Rattus norvegicus: one gene and its partners. The protein of the gene in region 3 interacts with the protein of the main gene of each other region in a pairwise test. Links are inferred from orthologs where the notes say so. Each region holds a gene or a part of one and is shown on either strand. Other genes may lie near its edges. The genes, in order: Usp53, Dppa4 and Crk.

What was found.
Region 1: the proteins of Crk (region 3) and Usp53 interact in binary tests that used the Homo sapiens proteins (3 or more experiments, as listed by UniProt). The two-hybrid records come from large-scale screens. The link is inferred for Rattus norvegicus from reciprocal best matches to the Homo sapiens genes CRK and USP53.
Region 2: the proteins of Crk (region 3) and Dppa4 interact in binary tests that used the Homo sapiens proteins (3 or more experiments, as listed by UniProt). The two-hybrid records come from large-scale screens. The link is inferred for Rattus norvegicus from reciprocal best matches to the Homo sapiens genes CRK and DPPA4.

Annotation. Positions count from the first base shown.
Region 1 is NC_086020.1:213,774,183-213,777,832, forward strand, and holds part of Usp53 (inactive ubiquitin carboxyl-terminal hydrolase 53), read right to left. Parts: intron 3,169-3,650; coding exon 3,019-3,168; intron 1,198-3,018; coding exon 1,035-1,197; intron 579-1,034; coding exon 426-578; intron 1-425. UniProt on the Homo sapiens protein: Deubiquitinase that mediates 'Lys-63'-linked deubiquitination of tight junction proteins, such as MARVELD2 and LSR, and which is involved in the survival of auditory hair cells and hearing.
Region 2 is NC_086029.1:66,039,329-66,043,078, forward strand, and holds the start of Dppa4 (developmental pluripotency-associated protein 4), read right to left. Parts: upstream 2,427-3,750; 5' UTR 2,358-2,426; coding exon 2,334-2,357; intron 142-2,333; coding exon 24-141; intron 1-23. UniProt on the Homo sapiens protein: May be involved in the maintenance of active epigenetic status of target genes. May inhibit differentiation of embryonic cells into a primitive ectoderm lineage.
Region 3 is NC_086028.1:61,038,867-61,042,516, reverse strand, and holds part of Crk (adapter molecule crk), read right to left. Parts: intron 2,879-3,650; coding exon 2,343-2,878; intron 1-2,342. UniProt on the Homo sapiens protein: Involved in cell branching and adhesion mediated by BCAR1-CRK-RAPGEF1 signaling and activation of RAP1.

The DNA of each region.
Region 1 (3,650 bases), on a different chromosome or scaffold from region 3:
TGATTTTTCTTGACACTGGAGACCCACGCTTTCTTTAAATGTTTTCTACAGTCCCTAACGCATGTGTAAGAAAAAGGATGGGAACTGCTGTGCTCTAAGTATTCTGACTTATGGAGGTCTCCGAGGTGGGCACCGTAACTATATCCAACTCGTGTAAGATATAAAGCCTAGAATAATGAAAAGCTGGCCGAAGTTTACAAAACTCGTGTGAACTCATGCTGTCTTGTTCCACTGCACAGACAATCTCAAACAGGTCAGTGGAATCCTAACTGAGAAACACATTCACAAAAAGACACAAATCTACCTAGCCTTGTCTCTTCACGGGCAGAGGAAGGCAGTTTAGCCTTTCTGTTCAGTTCTTACCAGGAGTTACAGGTTGCTCAGCTGTTCACACACCCTGCACACCGGACAGAGTAAAAACATACCTGGTGCTCTCCTTCCACTTGTCTGCACTTGGCTCCGATTAAAGGAGGAAATGTTATCACCTTGAAATTTGTGATTTTCTTTCTGCTTTATCTGACCACCAAATCCATTTTCCTTCAAATTATCTGGTTTATAAATGATAGGCTTTTCACATCCTTGAAAAGACAGTTAAAAACACATTATTTCTTTCTTTCTCATTAGAAGAAAAGATATTTAAGTCATTGTTCAGACATTTTTAATACCCCAGACAAAATAAGTTAATATCCTAGGGGTGACGTCACTCAGGGCTTTATTCGCTGTGTTTTGCTGCTTCAGACTTTTCTGGTTACTAAACATTTACCATCTCAGAATTCACTGACAGAAAGAGTTCCCTATAGCTTCTTCTGTGCTCTGGGTGCACCACATTGACCATACTGGGGAATTCCTAACAGCCTTCTGAGGCTACTGGGAGGGAAAGGTTTCTTTGAAAAGATCAACAAAACATAGTAAAATTATCCTGGATTTCAATTGGCTAAAACTCAATTTTAAAATATTCTCCACATTCCTCTTACATTCAGTAGCTAATTGTAATAAATGAAAAATATCAAAAATTACTTTTTAAAAGGAATTACCCATATTTTCTTCAACAGATTTGTAATGTGACCAGTGGACAACCTGCTTGAGTGCGTCCTCAGTAGAGACTGCTGTACCATCTGGGTTTGCATAAAACAGCAAAAGTGGCTGTAAGTGGCATCGGATGCACTTGGAGACCACATCTTTCCATCTGGTTCCGATCTTTAAAAGCAAAATCACAGTAAAGAAACATAAACCATTCCTGACGTCTGTAATATTAATAGGCAGAAACTGAATTAATTTACATTTCAAAGTACATTACAGAATCCTTGCTCTAAAACCTTCCCTCCTGTACACACACACACACACACACACACACACACACTCTCTCTCTCTCTCTCTCTCTCTCTCTCTCTCCCCCTCCCTCCCTCCCTCCCTCCCTTCCTCCCTCCCTCAAATTAAAAACAAACACAGGCTGTTTTCTCAAGTGGCTGCTCAATTCCTCAGTTTCATTATCCTTGCTAATTATGGTTTTAGTAATTCTTTTTGAGTTTAGTCAATACACTGAGTAAGTACTGGGATCCCGCCATGAACTCTGTGTATTTCTCAACAGCTGAGGATAAATAGAATGTAACAGAAAACATTTGTATACTTTAGCAAAGTCTTATTCATTTGTTAAAGAAAAATTGGTCATCTTGTTATTGTAGAGCTGTAAAATTTTATATTTTAATATTTTGAATACAGAGCTGGGGCTAAAGTTCAGTGGCAGAGACCACTTGCTTAGGATATATAGCGCTGTAAGCTTCAATCCCCTATACTAAAAACAAGTCAACCTAAGACATGCATTCTGGATACTGGCTCTATTACATATGTCAGACAAATACTCTCTTCCAGCCTCCAGCTTGTCATTTTATTCTAAGAACGTCTTACTAAAGGGCAAAAGTTTTATTAAATTTTGATGACCCCAATTTATCAGTATTCATTTTTTATGGCCTAAAAGATGTTCAGTGAATGCTATCTAAGAAATGTCTATGAAAACAATCAGAGTTGACAAATGGCCTTTGTTATGTGTTATGAAGAAAGTACATAAAGTTCCATACCACGTGCTTGTAAAACCTATGGATTTCTAATTTTAAAACCAGTTTAACAGTTTATTAATAAAATTTCCAAAGCTAGTGAACTTTGAGAAGTGCTCACAAGATCAATTGCTTTCAACTTTCTCAGGTCTAAATCTGTTTTAGAACTCTTTTTTAAAACCTCAGATCCTTGGGCATCTACTAGGTAAGGAAGAATTCTAGAGTCCAGCCACAGTTTATTCAAAGACAAGCACCGAGTCAGCAGTGAACTGCTGGGCAAAAGCACCCGTGACAAGCTGACAACCCAGTTCTCATCAGGAAACCTTCATGGTGGGAGGAGAGCATCAGTTCATGTAAACTGTCCTGACTTCCCCTGCAGGGTGAGCCGCACATGCGCACACTCGCGCGCGGGTGCGCACATACACACACACACACACACACACACACACACACACACACACACACACATACATGTGTATGTACAGACACGCACAGGCACACTACAGCATACATATCAAACAAATAACAGATAATTTTTAACAAGCCAGGTACAATGTGTTACACCTACAATTCCACACATAAGATGCTGAGATAGGAGGACTGCTGTGAGTTTAAGGCTATTTTAGCTACATATTAATTCTAGGTTAGAATGGTTTATAATGTGAGACACTGTTTCAAAAAGCAAACAAATAATTTATCAAAAGAACATATACCCAATTCCTTATTATATACACAAAACTGGAAAAACAGTGCCTCATTCTATCCCTACCCCCAAACTCATTACTCTAAAACTGGACTAGATTAAAACTTAAGTTTTAAAATAAACTAAAATTTAAAAAATTGCAATAGGTAGCTTATCCTTTAATCCATTACTCTTAACAATTATGCCAGTACCGTATATATTGTTATGTACGTCTGTCGTGTGGAAGTCCCAATGGTTACTGCAGTCAGCACAGGTCTTACTTACCTCCTTCACAAGTGCATCATCAAAAAACACCCACTTGGAGCTCTTGGTGTGAAACGCAAAGGCACAGTAGTGTCGGCTGGTGTAACAGATCATACCAACAAGGTGCAGTTCACTGTCTACGGCATTTTCATCAGTAACCCTGTAAAAAAGCTATTTAAAAATATTAATGTATATTTACTATTGTCTCTTTAAATTACGAATCATGCATCTACATTATATGAAAATATTTCACCTACAGACTGGCTTTGATCCAACATTATTACTGAAGGTGCCACTGATACAGAACTGTCACAGAGCACTTTTAGTCTACAGAACCTCTAAGCTCCACAAATTGGATTCACCATGTATTAGTGCAGTAAGTTTCTCTAGCAACACAAAATTGACACTTTACTTATACTCCAAATGTAAGATGAATTATATATTCTTGATTAGATAGCACATTTGAAGAAACATTAAAATATCACTTAAAGTATAATTCTTTTTAATTGTAACAATAACAAAGTAAATTTAGAAAGGATCAATTTTAAAAAGCACACATGTATCAGGGAGATCAATACACAGATTGATTTTAAACCTTAAACCCTTTCTAGATTAGTATTTATGGTAACTAACATTGTCACCAATCATCACTC
Region 2 (3,750 bases), on a different chromosome or scaffold from region 3:
GACTTGAGCATCTCCAGACTTACCGTCATCTTTCTCTGACTTTCTTTGTTTCTTCCCCGTTGCTTTAGTCTTTGCAGAAGACGTGCTCGGTTGGCTAGACATCTGGCATTCCACTTCTTCCCTTGGCTCCTCTGCACGCCCCTGTGGACAGGGGAGTGGGTTACAGAGTTGCCTGATGTCCTGAGACAGCATAGCCCTTCACTTGCTCTAAACTAACTCATATCTAAGGTCCCCAGGAGGTCAGCGCACGTGTTTACCAGTGTGCATTCTCATGGGACATCATTTGAATAACCAACCTGAGTTATAAAGTAGGGAAGCAATGGTCAGGGAAAGAGAGGGAGTCAAAACGAAAAGCAGGCTTAGCGCCACATGACTGTAACCCTAGTAGTGGCTAAAATCAGGGCCAGGCCAGCCCAGGCTTGTAGGGTTTTTCTCTACATAGCCTCCCTGGCTGTCCTGGAACACAGAAGTACCCCAGTCTTCTTCTTAGACCCACCCACTGTGGGACTATCTTAAAGGAAGGAAGAAAAACATTGCAGTAGCTGTAATCTTAGCACCTAGGCAGTGAATGCAGGTGTGGGGGGGTGGGGGTCACCAAGGGCCAACCTTTGGCTACAGGATAAAACAAATGAAATAGCTATGAACAAAGCAACAGAAGATAATGAAAACTACCCAAGAGTAGTTCCCTCTTTGGGGAAGAAAACCTTACTCTATCTTCTCATATCCCAAATATTTTCCCCCAGTCCTTGGTTCTAGGCTCACCCAAAGACTTTGTAGCCAGGGTGATGTACCAAAGACATTGTACCACTTCCATGGCTGACTTCCCTTCAGAGCCTCTCAGACATGGCCTAGGGACACTTTCCAATTGTGACAACAGCCTGGTGACATGTTAACACCGACCGATCTCTTCTTCAGTTCTTATACCTGACTCCCATCCAAGTCTTAATTCAAAGGTTATTTTGCCAAATCTCTATAAAATCTACCACATATTACCTCATTTCCACTTGTCAATTGATTCCATCTGATTTTAAACTCCACAAGAGTGGAGCCCCTTCCCCTTTTATTGCGGGCAATGGATAATAAATATTCTGCTTAATTAAGGGAACAGAGATTACAAAAACAAAACAAAAGCAACAACAACAAAACTAGAAACGATCCCTAAGCACAGAAAAAACAAACAGGCAAAAAAACCTAACAAGTATTAGGCCTCTTCTAGAAGATACAAGACTAAACACACTCCTTCCCTTTATATAATTTCCTAACTACTACTGTATTTTCAGGACCAAAAGTTTAAAGCTTATTAAGCTGGGTGGTCATGGCACATGCCTTTATCCGAGTTCGAGGCCAGCGTGGTCTACAAGAGTGACTTACAGGACAGCCAGGGCTACAGAGAAACCTTGTTTCAGAAAGAAACAAAATCAAACAAAAAAGCCAGGAGAGGTGGCATTGGGGAGGAAAACCAGCCCGGTTCACAGGACAAGTCCCAGGCCACCCAGGGCTACAGAGAAATCCTGTCTCCCAAAAAACAAAAAACAAAACAAAACAAAACAAAAACTCATTAAATAAATAAGTAAAAACACTAGGTCACTTCGCTGGAAAACCCAGATCTTTTCCAACCCCCACCTTCCCACCCCCCGCCCCCGCAAGAGTGGGAGTAAGTGACAAATTAACATTTGCCTGTTACTAGACACCTCGGTACTTTTTTATATCACAACAGGAACTAGCTTCAGAAGGACAATAAGACTTATATTCGCCTCTTTATAAACTACTCACTTTTGGACCTAACAAAATTTGTACACTAGAGAAAGCTGGAAACGGCTGGAAGGAGCCCTGGAAAGTGCTCAGGATTCTGGCTACTACAGTTAGTTAGGAACCAGCAGAGCCTGTCAGTCAGGTCTGTCTTCTCAAACCTCCTCAACTCTGAGGACCTTTGGATATAAACAAAAGGCCTAGAAGCCAGGTAACAGGCATTTCTGAGTTAAGCCCTCAGGTCTTCTCCCGGCCATTGGGGACTCCAGTTCCTTCCGAGGCTCGGTTCATATCCTGTTTTATCCTGTGACCATTTCCCTCCAGCTACCGCATTCTAAATTCCTTTCTGGCAAATCACAACCTCCTCTCCTAACACATCTACAACCAGGCCCGCGGGCCTCGTGCAAGGCCACGTCAGAGAGGGCGGGCGGAGCCACACACCTACCTACCTTAAAAAAAAAAAATTAAAGTGTAACAAATTGTAACGCTCCTTCTTTTCTTCCCCAAACAAGGCTGGGTATACTCCAAAAAAGAGGCCCTAGACTGACTAGTTTGGAAAGCCGACTTGTAAAAACAGGTCTCACCTTCTTGCTTCCAGACGGCTCCATCTTGAATTTAGATGAGACCTCCGAAAGAAAGTTCTCCTAGCTTCCAAATGACCTATGGCCTCCTTCGGCTTTTAAAAGTCTCCTCCTACTTCCTGTTGTCTTGAGGCCCTCTTCCGTTCCCCTCCCCTCCTGGTCCCACCCCCAACAAAATTGTGATGCTAAAGTCTGGTTTGTGGCTAATTTTAATAAAGCCGCTATTGTGTGGTTTGATTATTTTTGCTTTTTTCCTCTGAATTTCTTTTTTTCTTTTTCTTTTTGGAGGCAGGGTTGCCTGGCCTGAAATGCTTTATATACCTATGTTTATTGTACTGTCTGGGACTCGGGAATACAGAGATTTAAAGGAGCGAGCTGCCACGCCCTACTCCTGGCAACTGTAAATCTGGGAAATTTTAAACTGTAACTATTGCTGGGCGTGGTGGCGAATGCCTTTAATCCCAGCATTCGAGAGGCAGAGGCAGGTGGATCTCTCTGAGTTTTCTGGCCAGCCTGGCCTACATGGTGGGATTCTGTCTTTAAAAAAAAACAAAACCCAGCTCCGAAAAAAAAAAGAACCAAAAAAAAAAAAAAAAAAAATAGGAAAGGAGGGAGGGGGGGAGGGATCGAGGGAGGAAGGAAGGAAGGAAGGAACCTCTAAATATTGCTAAGGGAAAGTGAAGTTCCTAGAGAATTCTGAACAAGCTGTATAAGCAGATTGCAAATTTACCTAATGGAATTAGCAACCTGGACAGGAATGAAAACAACCCATTTCTTGTGACTCCAGAATTCTTTTACTATAAGACCACAGGGGGGTTGTATTGTTTCTGTGGTTTTGGGCTCTCGCAGGACTTTGTTTCTGCATACTAATCAGTCTACCACTGAGCTACAATCCCAGCCCACAAAATTACAACTTTTGTAAATCCTCCCCATCCAACCCTCCTTTTTTTTTTTTTTTTTTTTTTTTTTAAGTTCTCCATAATAGAAGTCCCTAGGGACCCAGAGCACTCTGAGATTTTCCTGTCTCTGACTCCTGACTGCTAAGATTCAAGGTGTGCCCCCTCACGCTGGGCCTGGGCTTGAGTTTCTGATCTTCTAGCCTCCTCAGGATTGGAACTCTGGCCACCAAGCCTGGCTTCAAACCTTAACTTTCTATCTGCCAACTGTTAAAAGGTTTTGTTGGTGCTAGTTGGTTTCTCTGTGTAGCCTGCTATCCTGGACCTGGACCAGGCTGGCTTTGAATTCACATAGATCCTCTCGCCTCTGCCTCTAGAGAGCTGGGACTAAAGGCATGTACTGCCAGCAGACTTTTTTTTTTTTTTTCCCAATAAAAAGTTTTTAAAGTCTACTGAATATGTAGTGAATTCTGGCAGTAAAATTCAGTCACTGTTTTGCAAATGATGATGATTTGTGGGAAACT
Region 3 (3,650 bases):
GGGCTAGAGAGATGGTACAGCAGCTACGTTTATGTGCTGTTCTTGCAAAGAGGACCCAGATTCGGTTCCCAGGACTCACAACCATCCATAACTCCAGTTCTGACCCGATACAAATGGGTAAAACATTTATACGGGTCAAATAAATCTTTAAAAAAAAAAAAAACTGGCCAAGAAATTCAAAGCTGAGGTAGAACTGACTGACTCCTCTCCTCGCCTGCTCGTGCAGTGACCTGTGCCAGGAATGCTGCGTCCCACCCAAGTCCACTGTTAGTAAGGTCTGCAGTCAATGTCAACAGCCCACCCACAGTGTACATAGCACTGTTAGGTAAAGGCATCATCCCCTCACCCCACATTAGCCTGAAACTTGCTTTCTTCATCTGCCAGGCAGTGTGACCCAGATAGCACACAGTTTACTTCTCAAAGCCAAGACAAGTTAGGACAATCTCAAAAAAATACAAAGCTTCAGCCTGTAATTCTAACACTTGAGGGCTTCTGCAGGAGTATCAAGAATTTGAAGACAGCCTGGGCTACATAGTGAGTCCCCATATCACAAAGCAAAACATTTGAAAAATACAGTTTTTTTTAAGCTGGGTGTGGTGGTACATGCCTTTACCCCCAGCACCCTCTCTGTGAGCTCAAGTCTACATAGTGAGTTCAGGGCAGACAGCAAAGTTACAGTTAGACCCTGCTTCAAAAAATCTAAACACGGTTGGGGATTTAGCTCAGTGGTAGAGCGCTTGCCTAGCAAGTGCAAGGCCCTGGGTTCGGTCCCCAGCTCCAAAAAAAAAAAAAAAAAAATCTAAACACATAAATAATGCAGTTTTCAATCAAATCTATGAAACTCAATTAACTCAATTAGACTAGAAATGAAAAAAATTTCAGGACTGGTGAGACTGCTCAGTGGTTAGGAACACGACCTGCTCTTCCAGAGTACTAGCATTTGAGAGCCAGCACCCACAAGGCAGTCTATAACTCCAGTTGTTAGGCATCCAATGCCCTCTTCTGGCCATTGTGGACATTTGGCACACAGACACATATGCAGGCAAAAGACCCATCACATAAAATAAAAATAAATCTGGTTCAAATACACCTTAGGTCACTGTATGGACTACCACTCACTTACAGGCAGTTCCTACCCTACTGTGGGAGCACAACCCAAAGGAAAAGGAAGAGCCAAGTCACAAGAGCACTTTCCCCTCTGCCACTGTGCTCCCCTAACCTCAGGCCACAATTATGAGAACTGGCTCCCTCTCTACTCAAGCCAGTCTGTTGGCAGGCTCTGGAATACGAGAGAGCAGGTCACCTCTGCATCAGCCTTTGTCCTGAATACTTACTCTTCCTGACACGTAATGAGGGAGCAAAGACACAGGTAAGAAGATGAGCTGTGAGTACTCAAGAGGAACCACAGAACATCTGTAATGAATGCCAGGTCATAACAAAGTGGGCTTCCACGAATGACTGAGTTAAAAATAATTCTTGTAAACACTGGCTTCTCAAACACACTAAGCAACAAAGAGAAGTAAATCTATTTTTTATAACTTACCCTCTTAGTTATGGCTAAATTCACATCTGTACACCAAATATCTCTGTGTGTGTGTGTGTGTGTGTGTGTGTGTGTGTGTGTGTGTGTGTGTGTTTGTGTGTGTGTGTGTGTGTGTGTGTGTGTGTGTGTCCCCTACAGCAGGGACCAAGGCCTAGTGAAGGCTAGCATTCAGCTTTTCTTGATTCATACCAAACATAATAGTAAGGAATCTACTATCCACTAAAATAAAGTCAGTTTTTGACTGAGCATGGTGGCACACACCTTTCATCCCAGCACTCAGGAAGCAGAAGCAGGCAGATCTCTGTGACTTTGAGGCCAGCTTGATCTACAAAGTGAATTGCAGGACAGCCAGAGCTACATAAAAACACCCACTCTCAAAAAAGCAGAAAGGAAACCCTATGAAAAACTCCCACTTAAGTATACTGCTACATCCCACTTACTACACTCTACTGTGGGCGGACCCATTTTGTTTTAGACAGTAGCAAACAGCAAGAAAGAAGTTAGGAATATAGATGAGAAAAATTACTTCAAGTTAATTCCTAATCAGGTGGTTATTAGTCAAAGGTTTAGTAGATCAATCAGAACATTCAGTTACACAGTTTTAAATTTACTCATTGCAAAATAGGTTTTCTCTAAAAAAGAGAAAACCCACATAAAATGCCAAAGTCAGTACTTAATGGTTTGACATCTACAACATCACAAAGCTGGCGCTGTATCAGCATTCCTACAAAGCCGGAAGAGGTCTGAAAGGGAGACCCTGTAGCAGATCTCGTCTTTCTACATTTTGCACATTATGTACCTCCAAAGCCAAGGCTGTCTTGTCGTAGGCATTAGGGACTCGCTTCTGGATAACCCTGGCATAAATGGGCCCATTCTGGAGGTTAGGGAGCGGAGTGTTGACGCTGGGTTGGGCATAGGGCCCAGGCTCCGGCCCACCCAGTGGCTGTGGGTGGGAACCCTCCTGGTTACCTCCAATCAGAGCCGATACTGAGGCGGAGGCGGGTCTATACTTCTCCACGTAAGGGACAGGAATCATCCCCCTCTTTCCTTCGCTGTCCTCTGCATTCCACCACTGCTCTTCAGGCTTATCCCGGATTCTCAGGATGTCTCCTTTCTTAAAGGGAAGATCTTCTTCATCATTCCCATTAAAGTCAAAGAGGGCCCGCACATACTCTGCCTCCTCCTGCCTGAGAATCACTCCACTACCCTGCCTTGATCTGGAAACTGGTTCTATCAGTGTTGTAGTGTCCAAATAGTGTATTTTGTAGAATTCCAGTAAAGCAGGCAATGAATCAAATTCTTGATCTCCTATTCGGAGCCTGGAGGGACTCACTCCTGGAAAAAACAGAGCAGAGTGTCATTTGAAGATATACTGAAGTTGACTTCATGCATTTCTCATACATATTTAGTCAATATCTGACCACAAAAAAAAAAAAAAAAAAGTATACTGAAAAAATAAAACTTTCTTCACAGTCCAAATGGGTATCGCCCTTTAAAATTGAGCATCCTCTTACAGAGGACCCAACTGGCTCACAGCTGCTGTAACCCCAGTCCAAAGGATCTAATGCCCATTCCTCCCCTCCCAGCACATGACCCACATGATGCACAGGCATCCACACAGACAAAACACCCATACACATACAGTAAAATGAGCATCCCCTGGAAAGCAAGATGCCCATCACCATGGGGAGGAGATAGGAGAAGGCCATGATGGACCCGGCCACTTGGCTTGCAAAGAGTGTGACACAGGCACTTCTTGACTCTCCAACACCATGTTCTGATGCTACCCTAGAAAGAAAGTAACCAAATACAGCCCTGCAGCCTCAGGAAACACAGCAAGCTCCCTATCCTAACCCCCTGGTTAGCCTTGGCTGGCCTGGAACTCACTTTGAAGACCAGGCTCACACAGATCAGAGATCCACCTGTTGCTGCCTCTCAAGTACTGGGATTAAAGGCATGTGGGCCTGGCCTCAAACTCTCCTTTTTTACTGGGTCCCTCCAACTGCTGCAGCAAAAGAAAAGCTTCAAAGATACTCTAAGTACACAGATTACAATCACTAAAACGTACAACTTGGAAGATGGCATCAGATTCCGAGATTTGAATTAT